Oreochromis niloticus: one gene and its partner. The protein of the gene in region 1 interacts with the protein of each later gene in a biochemical or structural test. Links are inferred from orthologs where the notes say so. Each region holds a gene or a part of one and is shown on either strand. Other genes may lie near its edges.

What was found.
Region 2: the proteins of cacna1ha (region 1) and usp5 form a complex in vitro, tested with the Homo sapiens proteins (2 studies listed by BioGRID, with this or other methods). The link is inferred for Oreochromis niloticus from reciprocal best matches to the Homo sapiens genes CACNA1H and USP5.

What each region holds. Positions count from the first base shown.
Region 1 is NC_031969.2:13,107,938-13,123,838, reverse strand, and holds the start of cacna1ha (voltage-dependent T-type calcium channel subunit alpha-1H), read left to right. Parts: upstream 1-9,046; 5' UTR 9,047-9,566; intron 9,567-10,767; 5' UTR 10,768-10,791; coding exon 10,792-11,267; intron 11,268-15,901.
Region 2 is NC_031976.2:23,488,845-23,505,348, forward strand, and holds the start of usp5 (ubiquitin carboxyl-terminal hydrolase 5), read left to right. Parts: upstream 1-7,707; 5' UTR 7,708-7,738; coding exon 7,739-7,846; intron 7,847-8,406; coding exon 8,407-8,535; intron 8,536-8,635; coding exon 8,636-8,702; intron 8,703-8,809; coding exon 8,810-8,937; intron 8,938-10,144; coding exon 10,145-10,290; intron 10,291-10,598; coding exon 10,599-10,783; intron 10,784-10,898; coding exon 10,899-10,993; intron 10,994-13,285; coding exon 13,286-13,479; intron 13,480-13,697; coding exon 13,698-13,769; intron 13,770-14,578; coding exon 14,579-14,666; intron 14,667-14,826; coding exon 14,827-14,952; intron 14,953-15,236; coding exon 15,237-15,390; intron 15,391-15,530; coding exon 15,531-15,693; intron 15,694-15,785; coding exon 15,786-15,874; intron 15,875-16,504. Other genes in the region: p3h3 (prolyl 3-hydroxylase 3), read right to left, coding at 490-607, 749-899, 984-1,079, 1,153-1,280, 2,288-2,367, 2,473-2,525, 2,617-2,706, 2,921-3,063 and 5 more. UniProt on the Homo sapiens protein: Deubiquitinating enzyme that participates in a wide range of cellular processes by specifically cleaving isopeptide bonds between ubiquitin and substrate proteins or ubiquitin itself.

The DNA of each region.
Region 1 (15,901 bases):
TTCAAATAAAAGGAATCATTAATGACTAAAACAAACTAACTTACCTGAGTGAGACACTGAGTCAAATGGACTTGGGTTTGTGTGTCAGTATATCTGACTTAATCTAACTGATCTAGAGCCAGTCCGGTGACATGATATAATTAAAGTTTGGTTGTGTTTGTTCTGGTACAGTGAAACTGCAAAAGCCTCATAAAATCAGTTAGGGTTCAGGTTTAGTGATGGAAAGTCTGGGAAAAGTCCTTCCTGATGTTGTTATAATGGTGTTAAACCAACGTATTGCCGCCTTTTTCCTTCTGTTCTTCCAATCATAATGTCCTTTTCTAATGACCGTTGTTTTCTGATGACATGTTCGAAATAATCGAGTCTTAACTTCTTTATTTGTCTTCCAAAACTGTTCTTTTAGCCCTTTTGGCTGTGCATAGTATTGGTAAAATAATTCAGCGACTGTCCTGTTTCCTTATTGTTCAACTTTCACAACTATAAGTGACCTTGGAGAAAATCTAACAGTGTCCTTAGATTTGAAGACTATCCAATGATTTCCTTCTTGCCTTACGCGGTTCATCACCATCTATGTCGACCATGATGGCACTGTTGTTTCCAGTTAGTCAGTCTTTAAAAATAGATTCTCATAAAATAGATGAAAGAGGGTATTTTAAAGCCACTAGCCATCCAGTCATTGTGAAAGCAGCACAGGGGACTAGGGGACAAGGAACCATGGTTCTGGAGGTGTATATACAGGTACAATGACAAAGACACACAGTGCAGGTTTGATAGTGCAACAAAACCACTTTATTATTAGTTTTATTAGTATTAGTATTGTTAGTTTACATTGTGTCGTTATAAGTAGGACACAATGTAAACTAAGACTTTTAGTATGGATATGACAATATTTAGAATTTAATAATTTAATAATTAAAGTTATACAAATATCATCCTGATGATCACAATTAGGTCCTATTCCAAATTTATCATTGTTTTAGAAGCTGGATATGAAAATATTATTAAGGCAGTAGTTGTAGTGATTTATTGAAATGTGAGCAAACAAACGGAAATGTTGTATAAAAGGCAAAAACAGAGACTGTATTAATCTAACGAGTTTGAAAGTCAACATTTGGTATGACCACCTTGATTCTTCAGCACAGTCTGAACTCTTTGATGCAGCTTTCTTGTCATTTCATTAAGTAGTCTTCGGGAATAGTTCTCCAGGCTTCTTGAAGGACATTCAAAGCTCTTCTTTGGATGTTGGCTGACTTTTCTTTTCTCTGTCAAGATGATCCCACACTGCTCCGGTAATGTTGAGGTTCTGGGCTGTGTTCATAATTCAATCAGTTTGGGCAAGATTCCCAATTGGGTTTGGATTCATCATCCATCCAACCTGTTGCCACTGATTTTCAGTCCAGTTCTTGTATATTTGGCAAACATCAGCCTTTTCTCTCTTAAGAATGGCTTCTTGACAGACACTCTTCCACTGAGATCACTGCTGATGAGGCTTCAGTGAACAGTAGATAGATCAACTGAGGGGCCAGATGCATCTCTCGGGTCCTTTGTTGGGTGTTCGCTGGATTTTTTCTTACAGGCAGATACTTTTCTGCCTGCCACTTTTTCTGTCCTCCACTTGTCTGGTTTCCTTAAGAACACACTGCAAACAATGCTGAGATATGCCAGATTTTTTGACTAATAGCACGTTGTTGATGCAAAAATACTATTTTATGCCTGTCAGACTGTCATTTTTTTGACTAAGGAAATGATTTGTTTTTTTAACAGGCTGCTAGTAACAAAGTGGAGAAAGATACAATTTAAAATTGGTTCTTTGCTAAGTTGTCTGTTATGTATAGACACAAGCCTCACTCATTCTCTGAGTTAGGGATTTTTTATGATTGAAATATTCATAGAAAAACTTTGAAAGACCTTAAGAAAGCCTGGAGAACTATCGCTCAAGACCACTTTTAATAACTTCCAACAAAGTCTGGCTGCTTGGAAACAAAGACTAAAGTCATATGGGTGGCTCTTTTGTTTTTTGCACAGCACTGTGCCTGTCTTAGCTAGGGTTTATAACTAAGACACATGTTCTGTAGACACTGCACATTTGACACAAGGCCTCTTGTCTGTCACGGTCAGCTCTGTGTTGCACATAAACCAGATAGCCAAGAGTTCGTGTGGGTCGAGTTGCATCAACAAAAGAAACTTTGCAGAAAAAAATGCAGATGTGGTTTCATGTAGACTTGGATTGCATTTGAGGACAAATGTCTTTCATTCGCCATGTGAACAGGTTTGGGCAAATCATGTCTTTTTTGGAATAAGGGCAAAAAAAAATCCAAACATATTTTGTTATACAGTCAATGAGAGAAAAAGCTTTTCTAACAAGAGTCCAAAGGAACATCTGTGGATGGAACAGTCACTATTTGAAGGGTTGTTGCTTTGTATGATTGTTCATGTATGTGTTAATATAATATCACCCAGAAGGCTGTCAGATGCTGTTATACAACAGCAGATTATAATCCTGATGTTACTGTCATTACTGCGGCTATGAGACATCATTGTCTCTCACTCTCTCAGTGTCAGCGTTTGTGCACTGCTCTCTCTCACTCTTCCTGTGTGCGCGCATGTGTGTGTGTGTGTGTGTGTGTGTGTGTGTGTCCCACTCCATCTTTCTTTCTCTTTGATTACCTCTATTCCTCTCTGTTCAGTCTCTCCCCTGTTTCACTCTGAGCCTCTCTGTCTCTCTCTGGATCAGTTTGAAGTCTACCAGTAGGGGTGTATATGTGGGCAGCAACCTGCAGGTCTTTGTATCGAAAATGAGCGTTACATTTTTCAAGAGGTTAGCAGGTAGTCAGCTCTTGTCTGTGTGTATGAGTGTGAGTGTGTGTGTGTGTGTGTGTGTGTGTGTGTGTGTGTGTGTGTGTGTGTGTGTGTGTGTGTGCATAGATAAAATCAGACAGGGTGCAGACAAATGTAATCACACTCCAGCCATAGAGCAATCACGAATCAGATCCACTTCTTGAAGGCATTTCCACATCAGTTTCATCAGGTCTTTTTCTGTTCAAATGCCTGAACACAGATAGGATTGGTTTTAGGTGTTATGACACAGAATCCAAATTTAATGAAGAGGAAGACACACCAAGGAGGCAGGATTGCATAAGAAGGATGAATTTAAATGTGTTGAGGGTAAAAAACATTTTAGAAATATGTGAACTGAACAACTAATACATTAATGAGTCATGCTTGCATCTTTCTTTTATTTATTGAGATCTCCATACAAGCCATTCATTGTCTGTCTGTGTCTCAAGACAAGTGGAAACTCACTAAATGAGCATCATTCATTAATCAACCCCTCAGACACCACACTAATCAAAGTCTACAGACTCTGTATTGTTTGCGAATGAACCCTAAGATTCATTCCCCAGCCAGCCACTGGTTATCTCTATGATATACGCTCCCTGGCCACTTTTTTAGGCACACTGCATTAGTAGCAGGTTGGCCCCTTTTACCTTCATCTGGGACTCTCCACCATTTGACCCTAGAACTGAAGAAGCTTCTCGGATGAGAGGTGAAACGTCCTCAAGCAACTTAGAGAAGTCCAGACCATGTGGCCTCGTTCAAGGTTGGAGGCACTAGAAACTCCATCTGCAAATTTCAGGTTTCAGGTGTTGCTCTTTACCCACTGAAGCAAAACTATTAGCAAATCAGCTGCATCCTTCAAGTCAAACACTGAATATTGATAACATGAGACTGAAACATTTTGGAGTGAAACATACTGATTGTCTGTAAATATTTCAACACTGAGTTCAACCTTAGAAGACTTTAATGTCACTGAATGAGCTCCATGAGCAAGTGAACAGTCCTAACTGTTGAAACACACAGACACACACACATAGACACAGGTATTGTTCTCATGTCAACATCTGTGAAGGACAGATTTCCCTCTAAATCTGGCTGTGATCCTGCTGCAGACTCTGTGGGTGGGTGTATGCGTGTGAGTTATGTAACTGTTTCCTTTCTTTTCTTGGTGTATTTATGAATGCACAGATATTTTTTCCTCTCCCATACCCTAATTAGAATGATTACTTTGGCACGCAGACAGACATGGGGTATTAAAAAAGCTCATCCTTTTCTCTTTCAACCATCCCTGCTTTACATTTTTTCATGCCTCTGTTTACTCCACTCAGTTCGATTTCAATAATACATCTAGAATATGTATATTTTAGTTGCTTTGTGCAATACGCACTCACGCACTGTATAGAAGTGCCTCATAGCTGCTCAGGAACAGAGGAACAGACCTCACATATGCCAGCAGGTCTAATGAATAGACCCCAGCAGAGCGATGATGAGGGAAGGATGGACAAACACAGCCGTGTGAAAGTAAGCTAGATCAGAGGACTAGCCTAGCCGAGGCAGAGATAATGCCATCGATGTAGAGCTGTGCCTCGACTTTGTTGATTTTATTCATTACTTTTGTCTTTGAAGTCTTTGTTGTGCTTTTGCCCTTCACATCTCAAGAGATCACATGTCAGTCAACACATGCAAAACCTAGAGATGCTTTTCGTTGAAATGTTTTGATAGGAAACTTGTCTTTCTTTGAAAATCCTGCCATTTTCCCTTTCACTGCTCACTCTGACCCTTTTCACAGTTGCCTAATGTAATGCACTCTTGCTTTCAGTGGAAAAGTAGTCAAACATGAATATGTGCTTTTCTAAACGACACAGTTTGATATATTGCCACTAAATACCTTATTTACTTAACGTCACCAAATGTAAAGCGCGATTGGACGTCTAACTTTTTCACTTTTTCAAACTGGAAAGCTGTTTGAGAGAAAAAAACATTGCTTTGTGTTTGCAGTGGCTTCAATCTCACTGCAGCGCTTCAAAAGTCCAACTTAGCAGGATCAAGCAATGACACGAGATGAGAAATTCAGGAGGAAAAGGCCGGATGATGAAAGTGTGGGAGTCGGAGTGGAGGATGGTGGATGATGAGATGAGATGGGATGGGCGGTGGGGGGGAGTTGTAGATGGCAACCTGACAAAGGAGTATTGATTATCTTTGGGAAGCGCACGCGCTATTGATTTGGAGCAGTGGCAAATGAATTGCAGTGTGTGAAGAGATGTTTTCCTCCCCAAAGACGTAGGACAGTCTATTATTTGTCTCCTTTGCGGAATTGTAACCACGTGTATTGTGTACATGCAGGTATTTCGACTCAGAGTTGATTTTGTTGTGTAATGAAAACAGAAACAAGCTGATATTATCAGATACGGTTCTCCTTTGAGGAAGAACAAACTCCTGGAGGGGGGTTGGTAGAGAAAAATCAGTTGGTTGACGAGAGAGGGAAACACAGGTTATCCAGGCTTCGTACACACAGCTGAGCAGGGCGTCAGAGTGGAGCCCGCATTAGCAAAACTCTCATAGGAGCCATTTAGGAGCCAAGCGTAGAGTAATGAAGACAGAATTCCAAGTTTGCATGTGCAAAAGCCTGGGGAGGGAGACGGACAGGTGGGAGGGAAAGACAGGTGTTGGGAGGGGGATGGGCTTGAAGAGCTCGAGCTGTCTGCATACTAGTCACTTTTTCTCACAGCTGAGAATGAGAATGGACACACACACACACACTCACGTCTCCTGTTGCACATGCAGATAATGTTAAAGAGTGATTCAGTTGGGCTTGTGGCTGATTAAGTCCTGGGTAATTAGCATTTTCACAATATTGATGAGGAGAGCCAAAAGTGACATTTAAGAAAACCTATTGTCCCTTTAGTTTCACATCTTCAAAAACTCCTTAATTGGCTTTCAGGGTAATGGCTCAAACACCACAAGCCACAGAGGAGAACATCAACCTTTTGACAATTTATAACTTTGATCAGCTTAGCGATGAAAAGGTTTGGCAGCTGGCTCCCATACTGTACACCAGCCCAGCATTTATACATTATTTTCCAGCATAACTGATGCTCCTAGGTGATCTTTGCACTGCATAAAGTAGCTCTAACGCAGAACTGTTCAATATATATATTTTTTAAAAACCTGTATTACTTGCAGTGCGATCATAAAAGGTCTTGCCAAAAGGTTTTCAAAACCACAAAGATCATTGTCAGCTGAAGACGTCTGCAAAAACGGCCAGTACTTTTCCTCTCCTGGCTCCAGTTTTTAGGCTTTTGGCACCCTAACTAGGAATTCAAGAAACTGAGTTCAGAGATTTTTAAAGCAGGGGGAGAAAGATTTGTGGTGTGTGGAAGCTTAAAGTGTCACATCTGGTCTGATTCACCCAGCGCTGCGTTTTTGGATTTTGAAACGTGACGAGCCAGTCGCCATGTTTACTGCAGCACACAGACTATAAAAGCTGTGTGCATCTTTGTTCTGCATCAGTGTCTGTTTTAGAGTAAAGACTGTCAAATTTGATAGAATTTACTGCATCGTCCTGCTCGACTTCAAGTTTTTTGCCCCAAAAAGCAGCTAAAGCTGAAAATTGATATTGTTTAAAAACTCAGTGAAACCCACTGGTGTACTTCTAAAGTGAACAACCAAACTGCAGAATAATCAGGCTAAGTAAAGACAAAGATACACACAAAGATTAAAAGGATTATGTCAGATTGTTGACCTGCCAGTGTACTTAGCCATTATGTAATACACAGACACACAAAACAAAACAATCCCCCAAACTACTTCCTCTCGGCGCACAGATGCTAACTATTTTACATAATGTTGCCACTCGAATGCTTGCACTGCTATATTTTATGATGAAAGACCTTTTAGAATTAATTTCTGAGCTGTTTTAAGTAAGAAGTATTTGGAATATCAAACTTCAACTAAATCCATAAGTCCATAAATAAATGCATTATGGCTAAATCTCAATTCCCAAGTTGACCCGAGCTGAAGCGTTAGGCATTTGCTAATGTTTTAGAGTTTAAAGTTTAAAAAGCTCTTAGTCTTTCGCTGCCACCTTTTTCACATGTTACCAGTCCATTAAACAGCCATTATCACTTATTATCACGTATCACCAGAGGGCTTGAAGCTCAAAATCCCCTCATTTCTGGAGGTATTGAAAGACACTGTCTGCTTTAACAAAAAAGAACCACAACAAAGAGAGCTTGAGAGCATAAATCAGACCTCACCCTGCAGACTTGATGTTAACCCTTTCTTTGTTTTCCTACCAGCTCTCTACCTTTTGTTTCAGCTCCTGTGTTTGGTTTATTTATCATTATTATATTTTTTATAAATGTAGCTCTTCCACACATGATTTGACAAAGATGGCATCATGTGACTTGCCTGTGTAAGGTGGGTTTAGTTCTGCCTGTTGGAAATGGCGTGTACAACAATGCGCCTTTTGGATTTCTGTAGCTACAACAGGAGTGAGTGCATCATAGGGGCTTTTTAATTGGGTTATAGCATTCACAGTGGACGCTAATGTCCACTTCCTTTGTGTCTCTGCAAACAAGATCGTCAAAGAGATTCACCGTTGTGAGTGTTAAGGTGTGATATTATTTATCTGTGTTAGTTCTATAAACCACAAATGCATCGATGAATTTTCGTTTGTGTTTCTGAAGGACGCTCTGCTGCTGATTTCGATTGGTCAAATTCTCCTTCAGTCAGAAAGATTTGATTTGAAAGATTTGATTTAAAAAGGAAGTTTTAAATCTCTCTCGATCGTGGTGTCGGTTATTCTCAAAGATAGGTTTTATGGACAGCAGGCTTTGTTCAGGGCCCTGAGCGTATGGCTGCCCAGGAGTCAAATGAACAGTAAAGCACTTTCCTAGTATCCATTGTACATCCTGTTTCTTTCACTTTGCTCTTCCATCTCTAGTTCTCTGACTCCGTCAGCCTTGGATGCTCTTAATTAAATATAGTCAATGTAATTGTGATTGATCATTCAAGCAGTATGGGAGTTTAAAGGAGTTTAAATTGATTGTCAAATCAAATTGTGGAGGCGCCGGTTGCCTGATTGAATACAGGATGAACTGTGATAAACATGCTGAACAAAAATATTAAATATAATTATAATTATGGACATGTTTATTGTGGCATTAAACAGAAAAAAACAACATTTTGTTTGCGAGTGTTGTGTGAATTTTGTCTCTGTTGGATGATATGCCTATGGGCTGATGTAAGATTCAAGCTTTATGCCCTGCATAGCAGCGCTTTGAACCTTGGTGATATGAAAACTCTGTAGGTTATGCTGCTCTCACCGATGGATAGATGGCAAATTCCAAGATGGCTGTTGTAAAATAAAATTTCCACTCCTCACTAATTTTGGCCTAGGCTGCTGTGGAGTTCCTCTGATCCACTGATGTGTTTTTACACCCCTCTGCATTTAATCATTACTTATAATTTATCTCTGGCTCTCTTCCACTGTGTGTGTTTTTTTGTCCTGTCTTCCTCCCCTCACCCCCAGCCTCCCAACAGATGGCTGCCCCTCCCTGAGCCTGGTTCTGCTGGAGGTTTCTTCCTGTTAAAAGGGAGTTTTTCCTTCCCACCAAAGCGCTTGCTCACAGGGTGACAGTGGGGTTTTCTGTTTTCTCTGTGTTATTATAGGGTCTTTACCTTACAATATAAAGCGCCTTGAGGCAACTGTTGTTGTGACTTGGTGCTATATAAATAAAATTGAATTGAACTGAATTAAATTAAATATAATTTCAAATATGTGTCATATCAGTTTTTCTTTAAGTACATTTTATACTCAGGAGTGTTTTCGATGACCCTGGAGGGCCCGATTATGAGAAAATCTAAAATGTTCTTTCACTTTTTGTCTTATCTTCCTTTGTCTTTGTCTATGTTTCACAATAAAGTCAAAAACCAAAACTTGCTTCCTTTTACTCCCAACAGGTTCCAGCATTTTTTTTTTTTTACTTTTTTTTTTACTCTAAAGAACAATATAGGAGATATAAGTCCCCCCTCCCACCACCACCACCAGTATTTCCTTTTTGCCGGTATAGTCCTCTGTGTTGGGATTATTGCCAAAAAGAATACGGACCGACACACTGTGTATTAATTTCTTTCTCGTTATGCCGTCTGCTTTGTGATCCATTAAACACCGTGGTGCGTGCACGCCCAGCTTGGCTCTCTGCGCGTTTCTCGCGCCCGGGTGTGAGTCTCCTACTGTGCGCCGTATTCCTAAAGCCGGGGATCACGTCACGTGTCACGGCTCCCGGGTCCTGGGCCAAGGTTTTTTTTAAATTCCGTGTCAGACCATCCACGGAGCTTCAGCGCAGAAACCTACACGCCCCGACCCTCCTGCGCGCATCTCCGCTCCACGCTGCGTAACGAACACCTCAGAGAGGAGCGGATGGATGGATGCATGGATGTGGATAGATGTTCCCGTTTAACTGAACGCGCCAAATCAAGACGACTTTAAGTGACTTATTTGATTACTTCCAGCGATTTCCAACGACCCTCGGATTACCTCTGATCTTTGGCAAGCCAAGGAAGGATAATTTTTTGTTTTGTTTTGTTGTTTTTTTTTAAAAACGAGAGAGAAGAGAGGAAAGAAGGAAAGGGAAGCTCCGGGTCGCTGAGAAAGGCTGGGTGCGCTAGAAAGACGGAAAGTCACGGATCATGCTTATGGGAACTTCCGATTCCGTCTCAATAAGGTAGTTTAAAACGATAAAGTTGTTCTGTTTGCATGTGATTATTTTTATACACACTGAGTGCAGGAGACAGTCCACTTTTTAGGGACGAAAAACGGAAAAAGGCACAGATGATGCGCGCTCTGGCGGCTCCTACTTCCATTAATACCGTTTAAAACGCGAATGGAAGAACTTTTACAGCAACTGTTCATATCAAAGTGTATTTAATATTGTTCGGTGTTTACAAAAGAACCCCAGGAGGAGAGCTTCCAACTGCCTGAAGGGTCAGATGCGCTCTTCTCACATAACAGCAAACGGCGGACAACAAAGCCCGTTAAAAAAGAAAGAAAAAAGAAAAGCTTCCCCAAAAGGGCAAAGTCTGTTAGCTGGATTATGATCACTAATGTTTTTGTTCTCGACGTTATTCCACTTATTACAATAATAATCATTATTGCTGTGGTGGTTTGTTTTTTTTCCTCTTTTTTGGCGCATTCCCTGCCCACCATTGCGTGGTGTGGGCTAAAAACCTTCAGCAGACCAGAGACAGAACAGTCCATCTGTTCAATCACATAGCAACAGGAAGAGAGAGAATGAGAGAGAGAGGGGGAGACAGAGTGGGAAAAAAACATCCCTCTACTATCATAATACTCTTATAGTACTCGCACTTAATTGTTACCTAATTTCAGTAAACACATTTTTTGCATTTCTACTAACTGCTGCAACAGCAGGCAGTTGTCAGTCTGTAGTGCTCCATGGTGCCTTCACTGTGTTATTACTATGGATACTATGAAATTCAGGCTTGATGTTCTGACAGAGACTCCCAGTTTTGTCTGATGAAAGCATTTATTGTTTGTTTTTTGTTCATTTTAAGGAGAAAAGAACAAAACTGAGATGAAAGGCTATTTTGAAAAAAAATAAAAGCCCATGAAAAAAACCCTGGCAGATTTGTAAAAGGACTGTATTGGAAATCCGTGTTTTAGATTGATTGGAAGCTCCTGCTGCTCAGGGATTGGAGGAGGAAATGGCCTAAGTGTTTATTTGGCTCCTTGTGCGATTTGTCTCCAGTTGCTCTTTGCCAAGTTGATCTTTCACTCGCTTCTTTTTCTGTCACCGTTAATCTGCATCTTTCCTCTACCTTCATGTCTGCCTCCTTTGTCTCACCGTGGGCTCCCTCCCCACTTTCCGCCTCCCTCTAACCTCCTTCTCTCCTCTGACCTCCCTTCAGAGTGGCTCTGCCTGATGCTCTATCATGACTGATGGCGAAGGGAGAGCGCGCTTTCAGTACGCAGAGTGCCAGGAGCTGGAGGAGGTGCGGGAGGAGGTAAGGCTTGCTGTACCGACATCCTACAGGAATTACGCCCAAGGTCATGAAGATGACCCAGGAGGAAGACGCCCGGATGATGAGGAGGAAGAGGAGGAGGTGGAGAGGACGAGAAGGAGCAGCAGGAGGAGGAGGAGGAGGAGGAGCAGCAGCAGTAGCGTTCAAGGAGATGGAGGAAATGAATGGAGTCCTGAAGTTCAGGGGGATGAAGAACAGGAACCGGAGCTGGAAGTGGAAGTTGGACCAACACTGGGAGTTCGCATCACGGCTCCCATCCGTGATCCAGACTGCGTCTCCGAGGATGAGGAACAGCAGCCGTATCCGGCCCTGGCCCCCGTGGCCTTCTTCTGCTTAAAGCAAACAACGAGGCCTCGCAACTGGTGTCTCCGCATGGTCTGTAACCCATATCCTTTAACGTGCTGGATCCTGACCCCGGCGATCGGTAAGACGAAATATGTCCTCAGCAATGTTTGTGTGTGAGTGCTGGCACGCCTGCATACATGTTTGAGTTGTCAGTAGAAACTTGCTGCTTTTGTATAAATACACAAGCATCAGCGACAGACTCACACTGGTGACACGTGCAGACATGAAGGGTGTGTCTTGGTATTGGGCAAGAAGTAGATGTTACCTGTTGTGAGTCTTCGTCCTTTGCTGATGTGAGATTTGTTGTTTTACATTCTAAATCTTTTGTGCAACAACTTGCACTTCCCTCTGTGTCTGTAAGGTTGGTATTACAGCCTCCAAATCTGGTGGGTTGGTTATTTTTAGGGTAAATTAGCTTTTCTGTTATAGGACCTGCTAACACGCATAATTGAGACAGCCCCAAGTACGCCCAGCACTCGGTCTGTTTGCCTCTATAGACTGAAAGCGCTGTAACACTTACCTGAGCTGCTTTAGGCTCAGAATCAAGCACAAATTAGTTCCTGGCTATATATATTCTTTTGAAGCTCATCAGTCAGTTCAAGCTGTATTCCCTCTACTAACAGTTCTGGCAGCCATTTTATTCTAATAATCAGATATTTTAATTTAATTTCAAAGTGCCAAGTAGTCCAAGTGAAATTACTTCCTAGGAGAAGTGCTCATGTCTGCTTTACTTTCTATTATTACCCCCTCAGCTGAACATCCTGCCGGGATCATTTTCATCTGTGGGATGTTTTAACACACTGGAGCATAAGAACATAATGTGCATCCAGATATAAGCGCTATGAAAAGAAGCTGAAGATGAACCGCTGCAATATGGGGTTTTTTTTCATTCGTGATGTGGTTAAGTGGGTGGTGTAAAAACAAAATTAGGACCTGACTCACATTTATTTTCCTAAGTGCTTCCTGAGTACCTGGAATCTAATATAGAAGGTACCAAGAGTATAAAAATACAAGCACGATTATAAAAGTAAACTACATTTATTCTTTCTGAGATTCTCTTTGTCTTCAAGTGATTAAAAAACCCCCACTCTGACAAGCTTCTGTTCATGTAGACCTATGATAGTGGAAGCTTGAAGGTGTAGTGAATCTAAGGAGGATGATCTGACGCAGAGTTTGAAGTCGGAGAAGAAAAACATGCTGTAGAAAGGTAGATAAACAGCTAGATAAAGGGGCAACCTTATGCCCACACATTTCCTCTCTGAGACTTCTGTGCGTTTAGAGGCCAAAAAAATCGAAAAACAAACTTTTAAACAGCGACATATGCACACACACACTCAGTTTTGTTTCTTTTCTGCATGTAAAGATTCATTAATTTGCCTTCATCATTAAAGATTATCAGCTCTAGAGATTGGAGTGGATGATTCATGCGCTATTCAGACTGACACTGTGACGTGGGTCAAACCCACGTTGATGATCTGTCTGAATAGGTCAGTGTGCGTCAGCCAACACTTCCTCACGACCCTCCTCTCGAGAAGGGCTGAGGATTGCTGTGGTGGACCGCTGTTTCTATTAGAAACGTACCGACTCCTCTGGTACGAAAGGAAGTTGCAGGTCGTGTCTTCTGTCATGACTTGTGGACTTGTGCCTAATTGTGGTTTGCTAAAAGATTTGACGCACATGTTTTGTGTTGGGTTGCTTTGGTGATTTTGTCTGTCCACTGCTAGAAACAACGCTACAATAGAAAGGTCAAAACCATTGCAGGACCTTTAGCCCTCAATGTGAGCAAAACCTCAGAAGAGCAACATTTTTTGATTGATTTAAAAAAAATCAACTCAAACCTTTATTGACATTTCTGTACTGCCATTTCTAATCTTACATATGCACAAATACAAATTCATTGGTCTGACAATGCTACAAGGGTTTTCACCATAGTAGAATTTCAAACTTACTGATACTGGGAAAACACGCAATAATCGATACAAGTTTTGGTACCACAGAGACAGAAAAAAAGACAACATTTTTAAACAAAAAACAACCAAAGATTAGAGCAATAATGGTTCATGTAAATAGACTCAGCTACACCTCTGTTTATTTCCTTTGCTTTTGGTGACTTGGTACCATATATTTCATGGTGATCAAGTAGCGTTGGTAAGGCTTGCTGTATTGTTTCTGTCTAGTTGCTGGTAGACTCTGTGCTGTGCGTGAAGCTGTTTGTCAGTGAAAGGAGGCAAATATGGTATCAATACTGCTGCAGATGAGTATCTAATCTGATTGCAATCAGGCATTTATTTATTTATTTATTATGACAGCCCTACTTGGCACATACAGTAACTACAGTACTGAAAAAAGTGATGTTTTTTAGAATTTTGGTATTGAAAAGCACTCTGTCTGTTTTGATGTCATCCCTATCTGTTACCGATGTAAGCCACTGTGGGAAACTGCCTTTCTGCAGCATTTCTGCCATATATTTTTTAAAACTGAACCCTTGCTTACAACCTAGATGATATTATCAGAAACTCTTTCTCCTTCATGATCTGACCTTTAAGTGAAAAACTGGTTGCCCATGACTCCACACTCTGGTCCCTTGTTGATCTCGTGTCAGCTGGAGTGATAAGAAGACTTCTGTTTAATTGTCCTTGAGAAGAAAACCTAGTATTCCCTCATGGGCTAAAGTGCCAGTGAGCCATCACCTAATTGATCACATGTCTCTAAGCACCAAAAAGCATCTCTACCAGCTTCCTCATTTCATTTTTGTGGATAGGACAGAACTCACAGGGAATTTCTCATGGGGATTAAAATCCCATTCTTATATCGGTTCTGCTCGCTGCAGGCGCTCGAGAATCGAGGCGTGAAAAAGTAAGGCAAGTTATGTTCTCTTACAGAACATGGTAATGGCTAATAGAGATATTAAAATGGGACTGTCCTGCAGCGGGAGAAAGCTGCATCTAAAATTTGTTGTTAAATAATTTACAGGGCTTTAACGTGCCAGGCATGTGTTGGCTTCTTCTTTTTTAAAAATGGACCGCAAAAAGTGATAGGAAGTCCGGTCGGGTCTTTTTCTTCTAATGTTTTGGATTTGAATTCGTAGATGTTATTTGTATTTTTCAGTTGTCCTGGTTTCACAATCCAAATAAATGCATGAAAATTGTTCACTAAGACAAATTCAGAGCCAACTGGAGCAAGCAGATGAGGAACGAAGAAGGTCCGAAAGGATTAAAGCATGTCCAGGTAAACACGCCGACACGTAGGACTTATGATTTGGTAACCTGCTGTCCGACAGATGCTAGTGTTGCGTTACATTACCTCTGTTTTGTTCACTGCACTGTAGCAGGGCTAATACTGCAGTAGCTGCTGAAGCAGACCACTACTATGAAGCAGATGCTCCTATGGTTAGCACATGTGCGCTTCACTGCTTGTGCGCTGATCACATGTCTGATTTCTATCTGAGTGCAGACTTATTTATTCATTTTTTAAGATATGTTGGTTGAAGTTGACAGGCTGGGCTATTTGTACCAAGACAGCGAGGCTAATGAATGAGGCGCGCACTGTCACATGCTCGGCCTTGCATTATGACTGCTCGTTTAAAACTGGATACGGGTTATGTCATAAGAACTGATCTCACCGGACATCTCTCTGTGTTGTATTCCTGTGTGTCTGCGAGTGTGTGGGCGTGCGCGCAGAACCCACTGTTAGCAGCACAGAGTTGGTGGTCCACAGTAGGTTATGTAAATATTTTTCGGAGCATAAATTCTCTGCCACTCAGCAACAAAAAGGAATGAACACATTGGGAAAAACGAGAGCCGGTAGAGGAGGGGAAAAAATAAATAAAGAAACAGCTACATCCATAAATTTCAAACAACGCACCTCTGAATAAAAGTGTTTTATATCACATCCCGATTCCAACATGTGTAGTCCAACAGTAAAATATTGAATCTGTACTGAGACGGTCATTAATCACCTGTGACTGTAAAAACAGGTCAACAGTTGCTCACAGTTACCAGAATAGCATTTCAGCACAGCAGCATTTGTCATTCACGATGTTTATCAAGTCTGTTCACTGGTGATCAACTAGCCTGGTCATGTCCAGGAAAATGCACACATAATAGAGCAATTGATTAGCTCTTGATTAGCCTAGCATGCAAATAGACTTTAAAGACAAAATTGGCATTTTTTATTGATTTCTTTTTAAACTGATGAAAGTCACCCTAAAATATATTGGTTTGGGTGATCTCTGAGTACAGCGTGCATCCACTGAGAGATCAAAAACACTGCAACTAAAGGCAACATGAGCAGAAAACACAACAGAAGTTGAATAAAATAAAATGGAAGTGTTTTTGGGGAGACAATACCGTGATGGAACAGCTGTGAGAGTGACAGAAACTACAACATGTGACGTATTGCACTGAGACCTGCTTAAAAGAAGCTGTGGATTAATCGGTGTTGTGAGGAAGAAAAAGATGCAGATAATGTGTGCTTTAAGTGCACGATTCATAATACTGCAGGTACATGTTTGCTAGCCATTTGCTGTTAGCTTGTCACTTGCGCAGATTTCCCTTCATGTTAATGTCTCCCCAAACACATCCGTTGTGTTTCATTCAGCTTCCTCTATGTTTTGTGTGATTTTGCAGCTTTTTTTCTATTTGCTGGTGTTTTATTTAGTTGCAGTGCATTTGAC
Region 2 (16,504 bases), on another chromosome or scaffold:
TCTGTAATCAGTTTTTTGAGCACCAGTATCTTGGGATACATCATTGTTTAAACAGCAAAATTAGTTGCAGATACAAGTGTTTTAGCTGTCCATTGTAACACTCCCAAATGTAGCTTAGGGCTGTGAAATGGAGAAACAACGTCGATGTTCACATCTTCTATATAATGGTTTGAAAATGTCACATTCCTCAAGCAGCTAAAGATGTTTCTCAGAAACCTGTATTCTAAGCAGACACGAGTCTCTGGATCACAGAGATCTTTGTTCGGTTTGTGACAGCTTTCTTTTGGCAACGATGACATGTACCATTCTCTCACTGCTATATGCTGATGATATCTAAATGACATTTTACCAGTAAAGGAATATTAAAACATTCTGTTCGTGGATATTTGCTAGAATAAAATGGCTTGAGAACATCTTCTAAAATTATTTGTGGAGAAAGTGTGAGCCCAAATTTATTATTAATCCACGAAGAGATGTTTTTTTCAGTACCTGAGGTCTCTGTGTGTGAAAGCTGGTGGTTCCTTCCAACACTGCTTGGTTTCCGGCTCGAGGAGACAGTTGTCAACGTGGACGGGGTGAGAGAGGTCGAGCCTGCCCTTCTGATCGTCTGATTTAAAAAGAAAAAACAGAACAAGAACAAAATAACACATTTAACTTTAAGTAATAAAGTAAGAATAGAGTGGATGATTTAGTTACACATTAAAGGACCTGTTCCATTTATCCCAGTATTGAATACTGTTGGTTTTACCTGTGACAGCAGTGCGACAGACCAGGTGTGTAAAAGTGATGAAAAGTCCTGAGGGGCTCCTGAAGTAGGAGTGCAGCACGGTTCGCACTCTATCACCCAGCTCATGTAACAGCTTGGCATCTGATTGGTTCACCAGGCCTTCCTGAGCCAACTGAGGAAGAAGCAGCAGTGAGGGTCACGAGATGCTGCTGAGAGCATCTCGTAGACCTGCTTCAGTTATGTCATTTCCACCCACCTTCACCGCCCTGAGGACAGTCAGACCTTCAAACGTCTCATGAGGAGTGTGTGGAGACCGCCGTCCTCGATAGCCATCTCCAAGAGATCCTGCCACCTATGGAGACCACGTAAATGTGTATGTTAGGGGTTTTCACATGCGTGCGTTAAAAAAAACTGATTGAACTTACTGATGCTAACTGCAGTATTCTGTCACACTCCTTCTCCGTCATGACTCCATCCAGGACGACTCGATTGGTGCCGTTCAGCATCTCGTCGTCCATTGTGATCGTCACGCCCACCTGAGGCACCGGACCACCTGCAGAGAGGACAAATAAGAAAGGATAAGACAGTAAATGGGTCACTTCTTATTTTAAGCAGAAGATGGTGGTACGACTGTGTTTTTTCTGATATGAAGTCGCCGAAGCTGCCAAATGGGAAATATTTGTTTCTATAATGACTGTATTTAATGGGGCGACCAGATCCCAACAAACTGAATATATTCTCTTTGATTTTACTTTTATTTCAGGCGCTGGTCTGTTTAGTCTTCAGGTTTCAGTAGATCCATAGAAACTGTGTCACTTCACGCCTCGTTTTCCTCTGTGTGAAATTGATAAATTATTCAAGCAAATAAGACAAAACTCTATTTCTCGGTATAAACTGCCGCTTCAATTTCTTTGTAATAGTTTCCATAATATTCAACAAAACCCACAAAGCTTGTGACTTTTTGGTGACTTTCCCTGATGGTCATAGCAGCAGACAGGCTAATCTTGACTTGACTATAAGTGACTCCTTCCCTGTTTTATATTTTAGAAAAGTCTAAGCAGTGTAATATAAAGAGTAGAATGATTCATTGACACGTATTTCATAGGATATGTAGATTACTGCTAATTTTAGTCATTATTTAATAATAGTCTTCTAGTGTGTCATGGTAAAGTCATCTTTAACAGAGATGCCGAGAAACTGTGACACACTGCAAATAAATGATCCTCTATTCTCTAATGTGTTAGATTTTCACATACATAAGATGTGTGAGCTGTTATAATCTGTTGATCCTTACTGACAACCCTACAAAGCCTATAGGTACGTGTGGATGTTATTCATTATTTCACTTGTTAATGGATAGATGGATGTTAATGGTTACATGCCACATAAACAGGCATATCTGTAATGGATACACCTGTGTTTCCTTGTTTTAAGCTACCTGAAGTGCAATTAAGGTGACGAGGAGCTCCTCCCATGACGCCCTAGGTAGAAAAGGCTGAAAACACATAGCATAAGGAAATTACCTGCAACATACTGACTCCCCAACATACTGTTTCTTACCTGCAAAAAACCCACTGTCATCCACTTCCTCTTGCTGCTCGCCCACTTTCATTTTCTCATTCATTTTCTCTTTTTCAGCTCTAACATTAAAACACAAAAGATACAGATGGAGTTTTCTGTTTCATTAGTTTCCACTAGTGACAGATTCACCTTTGATTTCTTTTTCATTTTCTTTCTTTTTTTACCTCCAGATCTCCCTCAATGATTCAGGTACAACATCTTCTGGAGTCCAAAGATCCTGCACAGAGGGTGATGAATAACCTCAGCAAAGAAATGCTTCATAGCTGGCTCTCTTGTCACTGCACTGCACATTTGGCATCAGTACTTACTGGATCTGTGAAAGTGAAGTCGAGGTTCTCCATACCAAAATACAACAGCTTCTTCTCCTGCAAGGAGTGGCTGATGTATCTGACAATCTCCTGTGTGACAAAAACACACAAACCTGTGCTTAAATATGACTTTAAAGATGAATTTGAAACCTAAGTATGCTTGAAATAACTGAACAAGAGAAGTGAAAAAATGTATTTCTCATTTAAATTACTTGGATTACTTTATTGGATTTATAACTTTTTTACGTTTTGACACCACTGTGGTAATTTTAATATAATGAACCTTGAGTGGTTTGAATGGTACCTGAGCAGGCTGTGCGCTCTGTGACTCTGTGTCTCCCCCTAGTGTCTCATGGTAGAGCTGCAGGTTGTCTAAGGAGTCCTTGTCAGAGGGGTAAAACAGCAGGAGAGAGCGAAGTGTCTGCAACGCCCCGCTTATGTCACCGGCTGCCGGGAATTGAGGATGCAAAGTAAGGCAAAGTAGTGCATCAGTCTTAAGATGAATAATAAAATCACGTGTGTGACCTTCACATTGACCTAAAAAATCAGACCTTTAAACTGTGCGATGTGCAGATGCTCAAGCTGTGTTGGCAGGAAGTCCTCCTGAGCAGAAATCCTTCCAGGTCGTGTGGCCACTTGAGTCACGCATGACTGTCGGCATGAGAGCAGCGAGAGGGAGAGGGCTGGACAGAAAACAAAAACTGGTGACAACTGGCTCTTTCTGGTCTCTTTCTGTCTGGCTCAAAACTTCTGCCTGCTTCTTACCTGCTGCCTTTTCAAACACGCCGTCAACGCTGTCAACTCCCCTGTCCTCAGGCAGCCGTTGGGAAGCGACTTCACACTGCACCCTGCACTCCTCTGTCTGCTGCAGGGTTTCATTCACACAAGCTTTCCATTTCTCTGCTGCTTGCTTCCATTCAGAGTTAGCCTCGAGCTGCAGTGCAGCATCATACAGGACCTGAAGTCAGTGATACAGAGACAGAGATTAACACAGGGAAATAACACAGTCGCCATTTGCTTGCTAATTAAAAAAACAACAACTAATGAGTTGTATATTGTTTTGTATCATAGTGCTTAAGAAATATAACACTTTTAAATATAACTATTTTAAAATTGCTGTGCAAAAGTATTCTCAGTGCTCCTCTAAGGAATCCTTACAGCAGCATTAACAAACATTTACTGGAGGAGAAAAAGATTAACCGTTTATAAAACACACACTAACCAATACCGATGAGATGCTATTGAATTATAGGTGGTTTACACACTGATTATTACAATTCTTATTGTTAAGTGTTACCCAAAGCTAAAGGCTAGCGTTTGATGATGAAGTACATTTTTACTTTTGAGACATGTGCATGCAAACAGACAAGTGAAGGTGAGAGTGAGACAGAGAAATTCAGTCCCTCAGGCCACGTCTGACTCTCCACAGTGACGTCTCTAAAATCATTCTGTTTGAACGCCCTTCATCAGCTGTTGAGTTGTGAACTTAAATCAGAGTGAGGACTATTAGAGGACTAGTTATGGCTTAGTTAGGGTCAGTCAGTTAAAGAAATGTCTGATATGTTTGTTCAAAGCCTTTAAACCTGTCTGCATGTCGGCTATCATTAACTAGTTAGCAAGTGCAAAAACTCGCACTTCCACTGCTTAACTAGTGAATCAAAGCTTTTATGCTTATTAGGAACTAAAACTGAGAACTATTAGTTCATATCAGAGGACTAAAGTGCTTCAAAAAGATAAGTAGTTTGGTCTTTTGTGCTATCTGCTTATAATTGGACAATAACAACACTAGCGGCTGTGAAAGAAGGTCGAAGGTAAGGCAATATGTTTGACTAGTGCTGACAAACATTGTTAACCTAACCATTAAGCCTCTTTAGATAAGTGTTCTTTATTTTCACCTACAGATTATATGACAATGAAGCAGCTTTTTAGAATTTCTGTTGAATTAAGATAATTTTTTTAAGGTAATCACAAGATTTTTGCTTTAAATTGCAACATTTGGAGTGGATGTAAGACAGCCTTCAGTTTTTTTAAATGTCTTTTTAAGACCTACAAATTTCATGTGTCTCTCCTCTGTGCTTATGAAGGTATGAGGGCTCCAAAATGCTGAAGGAGCAGCTCATTCTGAATGGGTCAGACAGTGAATTTATTCAGATTTGACTGATTTTTCTAAGCAGTGCAACCCAGTTTCTTCCCACTTACACTGTATACCCCATTACTCTTCCCTCCTCACCCAGTGTTTCTCATTGTGACTCTCTCTGTCCTGGAAATCTTCGTCGGTCACGCCGTCCATCCGTCTGTACTTCTCGATGTTGTTTCTCATCTCCAGGTGAGAGGGGTTGGCCACAAAGTAGGTATGAGCTGCCGATGCCGCCCTCTGCAACTTTTCTAGCTGATGTGGAGGAAAATGAGAGACTGAATGAAGTTTGTTACAGACCACTAAGGGTGTTGCTGTGATTATTTATGCAGCTGTGAGCTGAACTATAATTATGGCTGCAGACCATACTGACAGGTGCTTCCCTTTAAATGACAATTTGGAACACAGTACTGGTAGAAGTAATGACAATTTAGGAGCTTTATTATGCAGCAGCTCCTTATGGCTGTGTAAAGAACGACTTACCTTGTAGTAGGTGACTTGCAGAAAGTTATAAGGGTTGCGAGTGCCAAACTCGTACTCTATATCAGCAGAAACAGGAAGCTGTCCAACATGTGTGACAGAGCGTCCAATGCAGAACCTCAAACACTCAGCTTTTTGATGCACCCAGTCCAGGGCCCAGAGGTCCCACATAGTCCCCTGTTCAGAGTCTAACAACACACACACCATTGAAAAGACGATAAGGTCCCAGCCTGTGGCATATATTTTATACATTTTGATTTTTAGAACTGCCAACAATCTACAACAAAACACAAAAAAGCCTATCTTACACATTCTTTGAGCTCTTGAGGTCACATTGTTTTTTAGCTACGCATTTAGACACCGAGAAGTAAGGGTGAAGCCGCCAGTAACTTCATAAAATCATAAAATCTAGTTTCCAACTAGTAATTAACACAGACTCAAAGCTGTTGTCTGGCTACATGATAGGTCCAATCTTCTTCTTTTGGCCGTTCCCTTTAGGGCTGACCACAATGAATCACCTGCCTCCATCTCACTCTTTCCCTATTATCCACCATCTGCATGCCGTCCTTCACCACATCTATGAACCTCTGCTGTGGTCTTCCTCTTTTATTCTCACCTTGCTGCTGCCGCCAATATATATAGCTACTATCTCACCTGTGCGTATGTCCAAACCATCTCAACCATGCCTCTCTAACTCGTCTCCACCCACTCCATCCTGCCTGCATTCCCTTCTTCACCTCTCCCTTGTGTACTGTTTGTCGCTTTGGATATCCCAGGTATTTAAACTCATCTACCTTTACTACCGCTACTCCTCTTCTCTTCAGAGCATACACATCACTATTTCGTCTGCATGAATCCATGAATACTCTACGTATTCATGGAGTAGGTCAGTCGTTCCTCTGGCTTTTCCTTAAAGTTGGCAGGTTTGAAAACATTCAGCAGGTTGTATGGAAGAAGGTACTAATGTCTGCTCCCTTATTTCTCGCAGCAGATGCCCCTCCTGACATAGCCCTTCATCCCTGAGGGTGTGTTTGTGATCTAGCAAGTGTAATTAAGTCAGCTGTGAGAAGCTAAAAGAATAACTGAATTTCACAAAATCTGTTCTAATATGTTGCATGATGCACTGATGACATTAATATCAGGGTATAAAATAAAAAGACTGGCTGACAGCTGATTCAGACACCGACACTTAGTCTGTATTTCTTTGTTCCATTAGCTTTAACTCTTCATTACACAGTTTTGAAACATTTAGTTCGCCCAAAACTGTGTCACAGATGATCTTTATTGGCCAATTTTTGCTGATATGCCAATATAAGTCAGCAGGGACAAAACTGGTCTACACCAGTGTTAAATAGCTAATTTATTAATGCAGTTTAATTTAATGAGCTTCTACTGCACCATTCAGGCGCATTGTTCAGACAGATGATCATATTACCAGTAATTGAATATCTGATATAATTTATATTAGCGCCCAGCTTACCCAGTTTCTTCAGAGCCTCTGTCCCTGCTGCCATACAGTCATCATGACACTGCCTGCGGACCCTGAACAGTGATTCCCTGGTCGCGATGGATTTCTCCAGCAGCTCTGCAGCTTTGCCCCACTCCCCACTAAAATATGCGCGGACCCCGCTGTAATACAGAAAATCATACGGCTGGAGAAGTGACATAACATTGGGGCTGCCTCTTGCCCAAGCCGTTGAGGTAAAACTAAACAGTGCGAGAATAGCACAATTAAACGCCACGTATACAGTCAAACGTCCCGATTGAAGCGCCATGGTCCGACAGGCAATCCCAGCAGAGGAGGCGAAGGTGGAAGCAGAGGAGGGACTCCAAGGGGAGAACTACCCACAAAGTTTCCTCCCTGTTAAGAAAGTGGGGGCTTTTTTTGTATTTTTATGTACTTTTTATGAATTTAATACATGTAATACAACGCTGCGCGTTTATTAACGACTCCCGTTGGGTTTGCTTGAGTTTGTCAAATTGGGTTTGAGGTATTGATGAGTTTTGACTTGATTAAACTTGTTATGTTTGAAGCTACAGTATTTGTATCTCATCCGAGAGGAACCCGAAGTACGCAACCGACGTTACCGTAAATATAACTGTAAAACAGCTTTGGTAGTTTGAAGTGAAACTAATAGTTGTTGGTTATATTTTGAAGAAATTAATCATTTCTTATAATTAATAGAGCATTAACGCACATTCACATTTTCATGAGGCGACTCGGCAGTGGACATACCAAGTAAAAAATAGTCGTTTTTGCATTATAAAAATGAGAGCGCGTACCTATATCCTGTGGATTACGGTAATGAGCAGCAGCCACTCTGTGTGCGGGACTTCTTTACGGCCTTCCCTCAACACAAGGCAGCGTCTCATGATTCATTCAGGCAAACACAGGCAGCACAACACGGGCCAGACAACGGACACTCTTCCGAGCCAGGGTATCAAGAGGCTGGGTGTCCAAACTCAGAGCAGGTGTCCCGCTGCAAGGTGGAACTAGCGAGCTTCGTCATGGCGGACGTTGGTGAGCTTTTGATGTCGGTTTTGTCCACAATTCGGGTCCCGAAACCCGGGGACCGCGTCCACAAAGACGAATGCGCCTTGTCATTTTCCTCACCGGTGAGCCATTTTTCCTTTTGTAAATCAAAACTTCAGTTGATAAACAGTGTTGCTGTGTTGTATTCCCTTCCTCTTTCGTGATTCACACTAACGTAACGTTTTGCCAGTGCTGTCTCACTTTAATGGTCTGTTTTTCTACGTTTTCCCCATTTCACATAACTAGCAGGTTAGCCTCAAGCTAAGCTAATAATGCAATGTAATGGAAACTTAGCGGTTATAGCTTGTTAGCTAGCTCTGTGGGTTTAACTGAGTAAGCTGTCAAACTAAGTCAGTCACAACTGTTGCAGGACTATTGATGATGTAAATTTACCTTTGCTCAGAGTGTGTCACACTTAAGAGACACTATTTTTCTGTGGACTTTAAAATAAACGAGCATTGTTTAACAGCAAAGGCTAGCAAATTGACAGGAGTGCTAGTTACTTTCATTGTAGCAACTGATGCTGTGACATGCTTAAGACTTATAGATCGCATCCAACTTTAATTTGCAAGTCTACTGCAAGTGGTGCGAGATATACAGAGAGGACAATAAGCATTAAACACTGTCTGTGCTTCCTTTACAGGAGAGTGAAGGAGGCCTGTATGTGTGCATGAACAGTTTCCTGGGTTTGGGGAGTCAGTATGTTGACAGGCACCATGCTCGTTCTGGTCAGAGGGCTTATTTGCACATCACCCGGACTCGTAAGGCCAAGGTGGGACACTTTATGGTTAAAATACGGTGATCTAAATTACATTTATCTCTATCAGCACCATCCTTTTACATGTCCTCTCACCTACTCTCAATGCCAACAGAAGGAAGATGATGGTAACTCTGGCTCTGGACACCCACCTAAGAAAAAGCCCACCAGACTGGCTATAGGTGAGTGCATAAGCATACATGTATTTAGAAAAAAGGCTAACTCTATGGGTATCACTTTTTCCAAGAGGGACATATGCTTCCACCCTTGTTGTTTTTGTTCTTTTCAGGTATTGAAGGAGGGTTTGATGTAGAGCAGGAGCAATATGAGGAGGATGTAAAAGTGGTGATTTTGCCAGACAGGCAGGAGGTGACATCCGAGGACCTGACCACCATGCCTGATGTCGTAAGAGAGCGGGTGAGAGGTCATGTTTGTTTTCTAGTCTGTTCAGGTTTTTCCCAGGTTGTCAGTATGGCAGTAGATGGTAAGATAAGATGTGCTTTATTCATTTCAAATGTTGGAAATCTCATAACTATATGCTCGATTATCAAACAAGATAACTGATACAAAATAATTTTAATGCCACATCCTGTTTCACAGTGTGGCATGAAACAGGAAACCCATCCCTTTTCTTTGTTATTTACATTCACATGTATTTTTTTTCCCATCAAATTATAGTTAAAATGAAAGGAAATCCACTGATTTGTTTTTGAAAGTTGAATAAATCCATAATCTTTTAAAAGTCTTGCTATAATTTTGTTAAATAATACTGCACCAAGATTTTGACCAAAATAATCATTATTATGATTTTTACCTTAATCACACAGCCTTACATTATCTTAGCAAACAAGTGAACTTTTTCAACAGTCCTTTAATACAAGAACTTGGGTGGCATGCATATAGGCGTAAATTATGATTTATGGTTGATAAACAAGGCATTTTCTCTTGTTTCCCAGTTGAGTTGGATATGAGCACTCAACTGTGACACAGTCAGATCAAATGATAAACAGTTTTTGAACACGTCAGCTCCCTAGTGCAAAGTGTGAGATCTCTGGATGCTCCTATGTGTAAATAGTGCAAATAATTGTCCAGAGAATTCACAGTGACAGTGGGCATGTGTCCTGCCCTCCACATGCTTTGCCTAGGCAGCTATCTCGCCTAAACCTCACAAGAGTATTTCCAGTAGTGAGAACACGACCGGAGTGGATTATCTCAAGTTGCCTGCCTCACTTCAGACAATGTCCAGACCTGACTGCCAACATTTTCCAGAGTTCATGCTTTTTCTATTGTCAGTTATCAAGTATTTGAAGTTTTATCAAATCACTTAGTTAGATTGTAGGTGGTAAGATGTGTATTCTTTGAGTAATGTTTGGTTTATTGTTTTGAGCTGTATTTGTTACCATGGTGGAATAATTTCTGGTGTTGTTTCATGTTACTTGCCTGTTTGTTTGTGTGGAGAGGATGCATAGTGCTACTATATCATCTCTTTATCATCATCTAACCTTTTGCCTCCTTCCAGTCTGTTTGGGGTTTTCTTTTTCTTTAAAGAAAAATCTCTGTGCTTAAGAGCAAGTGGACTTCAAATGAGATTTTCTTGAAATGTGTCCCCCTGCTGTCCACCTAGGTGTCCCTGTCTATGGCGGGTATCATGGCAGCTGACTCAGTGTCTCATACCTTACAAGTTCAGCAGTGGGATGGAGAGGTGAGACAGGAGTCGAAGCATGCCGCTGACCTTAAACAGCTAGACAATGGAGTCAAGATCCCTCCCAGGTGAGGTCAAAGCTCTATTATTTAATAATTTTGCCATGCAGCAGCTCACATATTCTCTTCAAATTTGATAAAAGATGTGCTGGCTGTCTATATGTACAATAAATCTTATAGAGTTGCCACAGGTGTATCTATTTTAGTCAAGATACTGCCTTTCTACATTTAGAATCCACTGATTCAATATTGATCCGGTTCCCTTTTCAGTAATCTATTGTAAAAGAGAGAATGTTGCCATTTAAGCTCTATAAAGGGCTGTTATCTTTATATCAGAAAGTGTGTTTATTGGAGGCTTTCTCTTCTGTCTGTCGTAGTGGCTGGCGGTGCGAGGTGTGTGACCTCCAGGAGAACATTTGGATGAACCTGACGGATGGCAAAGTTCTGTGTGGCCGCAGGTACTTTGATGGCTCTGGAGGCAACAACCATGCTCTTCTCCACTACCAGGAGACCGGTTACCCACTTGCTGTCAAACTCGGTACCATCACTCCTGATGGCGCTGGTAAGCGAAAAAACGATTTGATAATAGTTGGTTTGTGTTAATTAACTTTAAAAATAAATTACAGAGATTTTGCATTTGTCTGAAGTTCAGTCCCTGTGCTGTTTTGTTTTTCCAGATGTGTATTCCTATGATGAGGACGACATGGTGCTCGATTCAAAGTTACCAGAGCACCTGGCTCACTTTGGCATTGACATGATGACCATGGAGAAAGTAAGTTTTGTTTTTCTTGCTGATTTTATTTTGGATTTAATCACTTATCGACCAATACAAGTTGAGAGCTGTCAGATTTCTTCCTGGTTTTTAATGTTATGCATTAGATCAAGGTCTTGTACATAGAAGTATTGATCAGTCTGCTGCTTTATGATTGGAGTGTTGTAAATTTAGACAGGGATATGGGACTTTTTTCCCCCTTTGCAGACATCCAAATAATGGTGGTGCCTACTTTTGTCTGTTAGATAGCCATTGATTCTATGGTGTTGCAAAAATTAAGGTCTAAAAACGTTGCAGTGCTACTGAGCTGAAAACACTTAAAAAAGATACTTCTCTTATTGAATATCTCACCCCCTTCTGATCTGGTTTTCATTTATTATTGCTTTTGTTTTTTGTTAACTACATATAATGTTGTTCTTAATATAATAGTTCTTTAATATAATTATTACTGCTTATCATATTGACCTACTTCCCCTTGTTTCATTTTCTGCAACACCTGTTTCCTCTTTGAATCCCTGCTGTCTTTTATTTCTTGGCCACCTGCTTCCCCTCTTATGCAGAGTGCAGTCTACACAGCTGTCTTGTCTAAGATGTCTGTAGCTCTCACTGTGTACTCTAATGTTATTTCTTTTCTTGCTGATGTTTTTCTGTACACACCTAATGATGTTGCACAGCCGAGGGGGTGAAAGAATTGTGGGATAGTAAAGCAGAAGAAAGAATACAGCAGTTAGTGGTATATTATAGTTTGTCTGCCTGCCTGGTGTCATTAATGAGTCATACTGCCTAATCTCGTTTATCAGTTTTCTTAATATAAAAACTTTTCTTTAATGTTTTGTATTAAGGCTCTTGCAAAGAATTTTGCTTTCTTACGCAACATATCTTCCCTTTACTTGTAAGATAAGATGCTTTGTTTATCTTAAGTTGAGAAGTTATGGCAGCACAAATATTAAAGATGTGCTATAACATGCTTAAAGTGGAATAAGACTGGCTCAATGAGGAAAAAAATAAACATGCGAACAATCAAAATTAGATTTTGGGGAGCAATGAATAAGTATCTAAATACAAGTTTGGATTACACAATTGTCTTTCTTATGAGGAAATCATCTTAGGTTAAAGTTCTGCATCATAAACCAAACAATATTAAACTGTGTCACTGGTCTGTTGCAATACTCAGTTTCAGCCAAACTTGACTTGTTGGTCAGATTGCCTCATATTTGACTCTAGAATACTTTGGTAACAGAGAAGGTCATGGTTGACTTGATGATTGTGAGGGGCCCAGGTTGTATGGCTGCTAAACAAATACAAATCATCAACCCTTTACCGAGCTTGATAGATGTTTATGCTGTTTGGTTTTCTCAGTATGTGGTGCTGTGTATTACAGTCAAACATGTCCTCTTTGGTCTGATCTATCCAAAGGAAATTGTCTCAGAACTCTTGTGACTAGTTCAGATGCAACTTTGCAAACCTAAGCCATGGTGCTGTGTTTTTTAAGCAAGATTTTTTTTTTTTCTCCTGGAAACCTTTAAAAACAAACCATACATTTTCTAATCATGCTGTAATTAAATGTAATGTTTAACACACTGAGGCTTGTACAGTCTGAGATGTAGCATTTGGGTTTTTTGGGGTCTCTGAGCATTATGTGGCCTGACTTTGGGGTGATTGCCTACAAATGGTCAAATCCTCTGATTTTATAGTGGTCACTGATAATCTTTTACTGTTACTGATAATCAGTTAATCAATTAAACCCTCTTAATTACTATGGAAGCAGAAAGGGTATGCTCAGTTTTTAATTGGACTGCATAGAGTCTTGTAAAATTTATTTTGAATTTTGAATTTGACTGAAAATTAGCAAGAGCTCTAAACTCTGTGCAGCACATCAGTTTCTTGCTTCACATTAGAACTATGTTAAATTGCATTGTCCCTTTTAAATAAATAATGACATGAAATGAAATTCATAGTCATTTGGATGGCCTCTGTGTTAACTGATGGAGCAGTCGGTGTAGTGATTCAAACTGAATTCATACAGCAACAGCAGGTGCTGCTGGCCTTGGCAAGTAATATGAATGTATTCCTCAGCTAACAGTTCAGTATTTAGGCCACAGAAGTGTTCCTCCACATGGTGTAAACCGAGATTACACAATGTTTCATTCACAAACAGTGCAGTCCCCACTTTCTAAACCACTCAGATTAACTGAGCTCTGCCTGAAAAGTCCTGAAGCCAGATACAGTCACACAGTCCACGTAGTGTGATTGCAGCCACCATACTTACTGCATTTGCTTTTCTGCTTTCAGACTGAGAGGACAATGACAGAGCTGGAGATTGCTGTGAATCAGCGTGTGGGAGAGTGGGAGGTGATCCAGGAGTCGGGGACCACCCTGCGCCCCCTGTTTGGCCCCGGCCTGACTGGCATGAAGAACCTGGGAAACAGCTGCTACCTCAATTCTGTCATGCAAGTGCTCTTCACCATCCCAGACTTCCAGAGCAAGTCAGTAACCTCCTTTTTTTTTTTTTTTTTTTTTTTTTTTTTTTACAGTCCCCATCCAGCTGTGTGTCTCATGTTATTTCTTATGGCAAACTGAAATTAAAAATGTTGCTTTTTAGTCAATATTCACCTAAAAGGTGAAAATTTGTCTGATACTTTGCTTTAACATTTAAGATGAATCCAAAGAATTTCCTTCCAGCTTTTCTGTCCATACCTCACAGGTACGTGTCTAATATCGACAAGATAATTGATGAAGCACCGAGCGACCCAACCCAGGACTTCAAAACCCAAGTGTGAGTTTCCTTTAAATTTCCTTTAAATTCCTTTAAATTTTAAACTACAAGCTTTTGTATAATTATTAAATGTCCAAAAACACCCCTCATTTGTACTGCAGGAGAGTGAAAGCGGCTCTTTTTAAAATGTTAGACGTGTTTTCGTGCTACCTTAGTTTTCATGCACATGTATTTACATACACACATATGGCTTCCTGATATTGGTGTCACACACTGTAAAATCAAATAAGCCATCTGCATAAATATACACAGGCACATTTACAGTGTGCCAGCTGTCAGCAACGAACCCAGTTGTGCGCTTTCCTGGCAGCTGCATTTTCAAGTGTGATAATTGTCTTTTAATGTGTAAATACTGCCTTTCTCTATTGAAAGGTGCTATTTTTAGACAGACTTACATCGACACCTGTTTGCTGTTGTTTCAGTAGCACAGCAGGAAATCAACTAAAGAGCCTGCTTTTAAAGAAAATCCATTATTGTGAAAACAGAAGGTCGACGCAGCTCATGTAACTTGACCCTTTATCAACAGTTTGATATAATAAGATTAAGTCTACTTGCTATCTAATTTTATTGTTTTCTTGTTTTCATTAAACTCATATCTACTTTATTCTAAACAATCTCTGCTTTTCAGTAGCTGCGCAGCAACCTTTCAACACAGATAATAATATCAGCTCCATGATTAGATTTTCCAGCTTGTTATTTGAAATAAAAATGTAAAAAATACATCTTGGTCTATATTTAAATCCACCACCTGCATGAGGCTGTGGGATCCTGTTGGATGTGCAGCTTGTCAGCTTGTTTGTTTATTACAGAGCCAAGCTCGGTTATGGTCTGCTGTCAGGAGACTATTCCAAACCAGCACCAGACCCAGGAGAGGAAAATGGTGCAGCTGAACCCAGGGTAAGCAGACAGAATCAGTCACACTGGATCCAGAAATCTAGGTTTGGAAAAATATCTGTCCCTTATGCTGGGATTTTCGCTCAGAAGTGAGTGAGACTATAGTACAACTAATGATGGCTCCCACAACTGAGAAATCCTTCTGCTCCGGCTTTGCTTTCAGGGAGACCAAATCGGAATAGCACCGCAAATGTTCAAAGCACTTGTTGGGCGGGGCCACCCGGAGTTCTCCACCAATCGACAACAGGATGCTCAGGAGTTTTTATTGCACTTCATAAACATGGTGGAGGTAAAGTATAACTCTCACTGTATTTTTTATTTTTTTGTTTGTTTTTTTTGCCTTTTTCAACTTTATTGGAAAGGAAGAGAGGACAGGAAAGTGGGGGCAGAAAGAAGGGGGAAGATGGGTGGCAAAGGGCCACGGGTCAGACTCGAACCTGGGCCGGCCACTCTCAGCCGTATGGCATGTGGTCGCCCGCTCAAAGCACTGAGCTAAAGGGCCACCCACTGTCTTTTACTTTTAATTTTTTCCTTCTTATTTTGTTTTAAATATCCATTTTCTTCTTCCTACAGAGAAACTGCCGCTCTGGGTCCAACCCGTCTGAAGCCTTCAGGTTTCTGGTGGAGGAGCGGATTGTGTGTCAGCAGTCACAGAAAGCCAAATACACACAGCGGGTGGATTACATCGTTCAGCTGCCCGTGCCCATGGACCAGGCTACCAACACAGGTGAGGATGAGGACAATCTCTGCAACATTAACATTTTGATCTTTCCAAGTATTTAGACTTGAAGACTTGAGCATTTTATTAAACAGAAACCCGTTATCATTATTATTATTATTATTGTTATTATTTATTTTAAATAACAGAAGAGCTTCAGGAGGCTGAGCGCCGCCGTGAAGAGGGGGACTCGTCAGCTCCGACAGTGCGTGCACAAATCCCCTTCACAGCGTGCATGGCGGCTCTCAGCGAACCAGAGATCCTCACGGACTTCTGGAGCTCGGCTGTTCAAGGAAAAACTACTGCTACCAAGTATGAAGAGAGACACCCTCACAATGGAAGTAGTGAACTGGAACAGATTTTAAAAGATCTCTAGTAATGACAGCCTTTCTCTCGTTTATCAGAACGACCCGGTTCGCCTCTTTCCCCGACCACCTGGTTATCCAGATTAAGAAGTTCACCTTTGGTCTTGACTGGGTGCCCAAAAAACTGGGTGAGCAAAAGATATGGTTACATTTTTGTTTTGAAAACATTAAAAAAAAAAAAAAAAAAAAAAGAAATTTCTGTGTACAAACATGCACGTCAGAGGGGTTTACTATGAACCCTTTTTACTATTTACTTTTTTTTTTTTTTGCCGAACTGAGGGTCACCTGCTTCAGTCAGACATTATTAGAAAAAGAGGTGATGGAGAACCTACAAAAATAGGCTGTTTATTTAAAAAAAACATTAAATTAAATGCTGGTGCTGCAAAATAAAATGAGAGAGCAATGCTACATTGTTGAGATTTCAAAGGCTGTACATACATCTATTCATCCCTCCCATGTGAAGTCTTGTCATGGTAGTGGCAGGCTAACCAGGGTATTCCTAACCCTACAGACAAAACTCCTTCACCACAGTAGTACGAGACAGTGCCTACATTACTACTGACCCATCATCACTTGTGAATGGGAACTCTGTCACCACTCTGAGGATGAGGGAGTGCAGTTTTTGGTTGGTTGGTTGGTCTTTTTGAGGGGAGGAGGGGTTGTCTGTTTGTTATTGTTTTCAAATACTTGCTGCTTCCATGCTTCAGTGTAAAACAAAATATTAAAAAATCGTAGATGTGTAACATTTAAAATTTTGC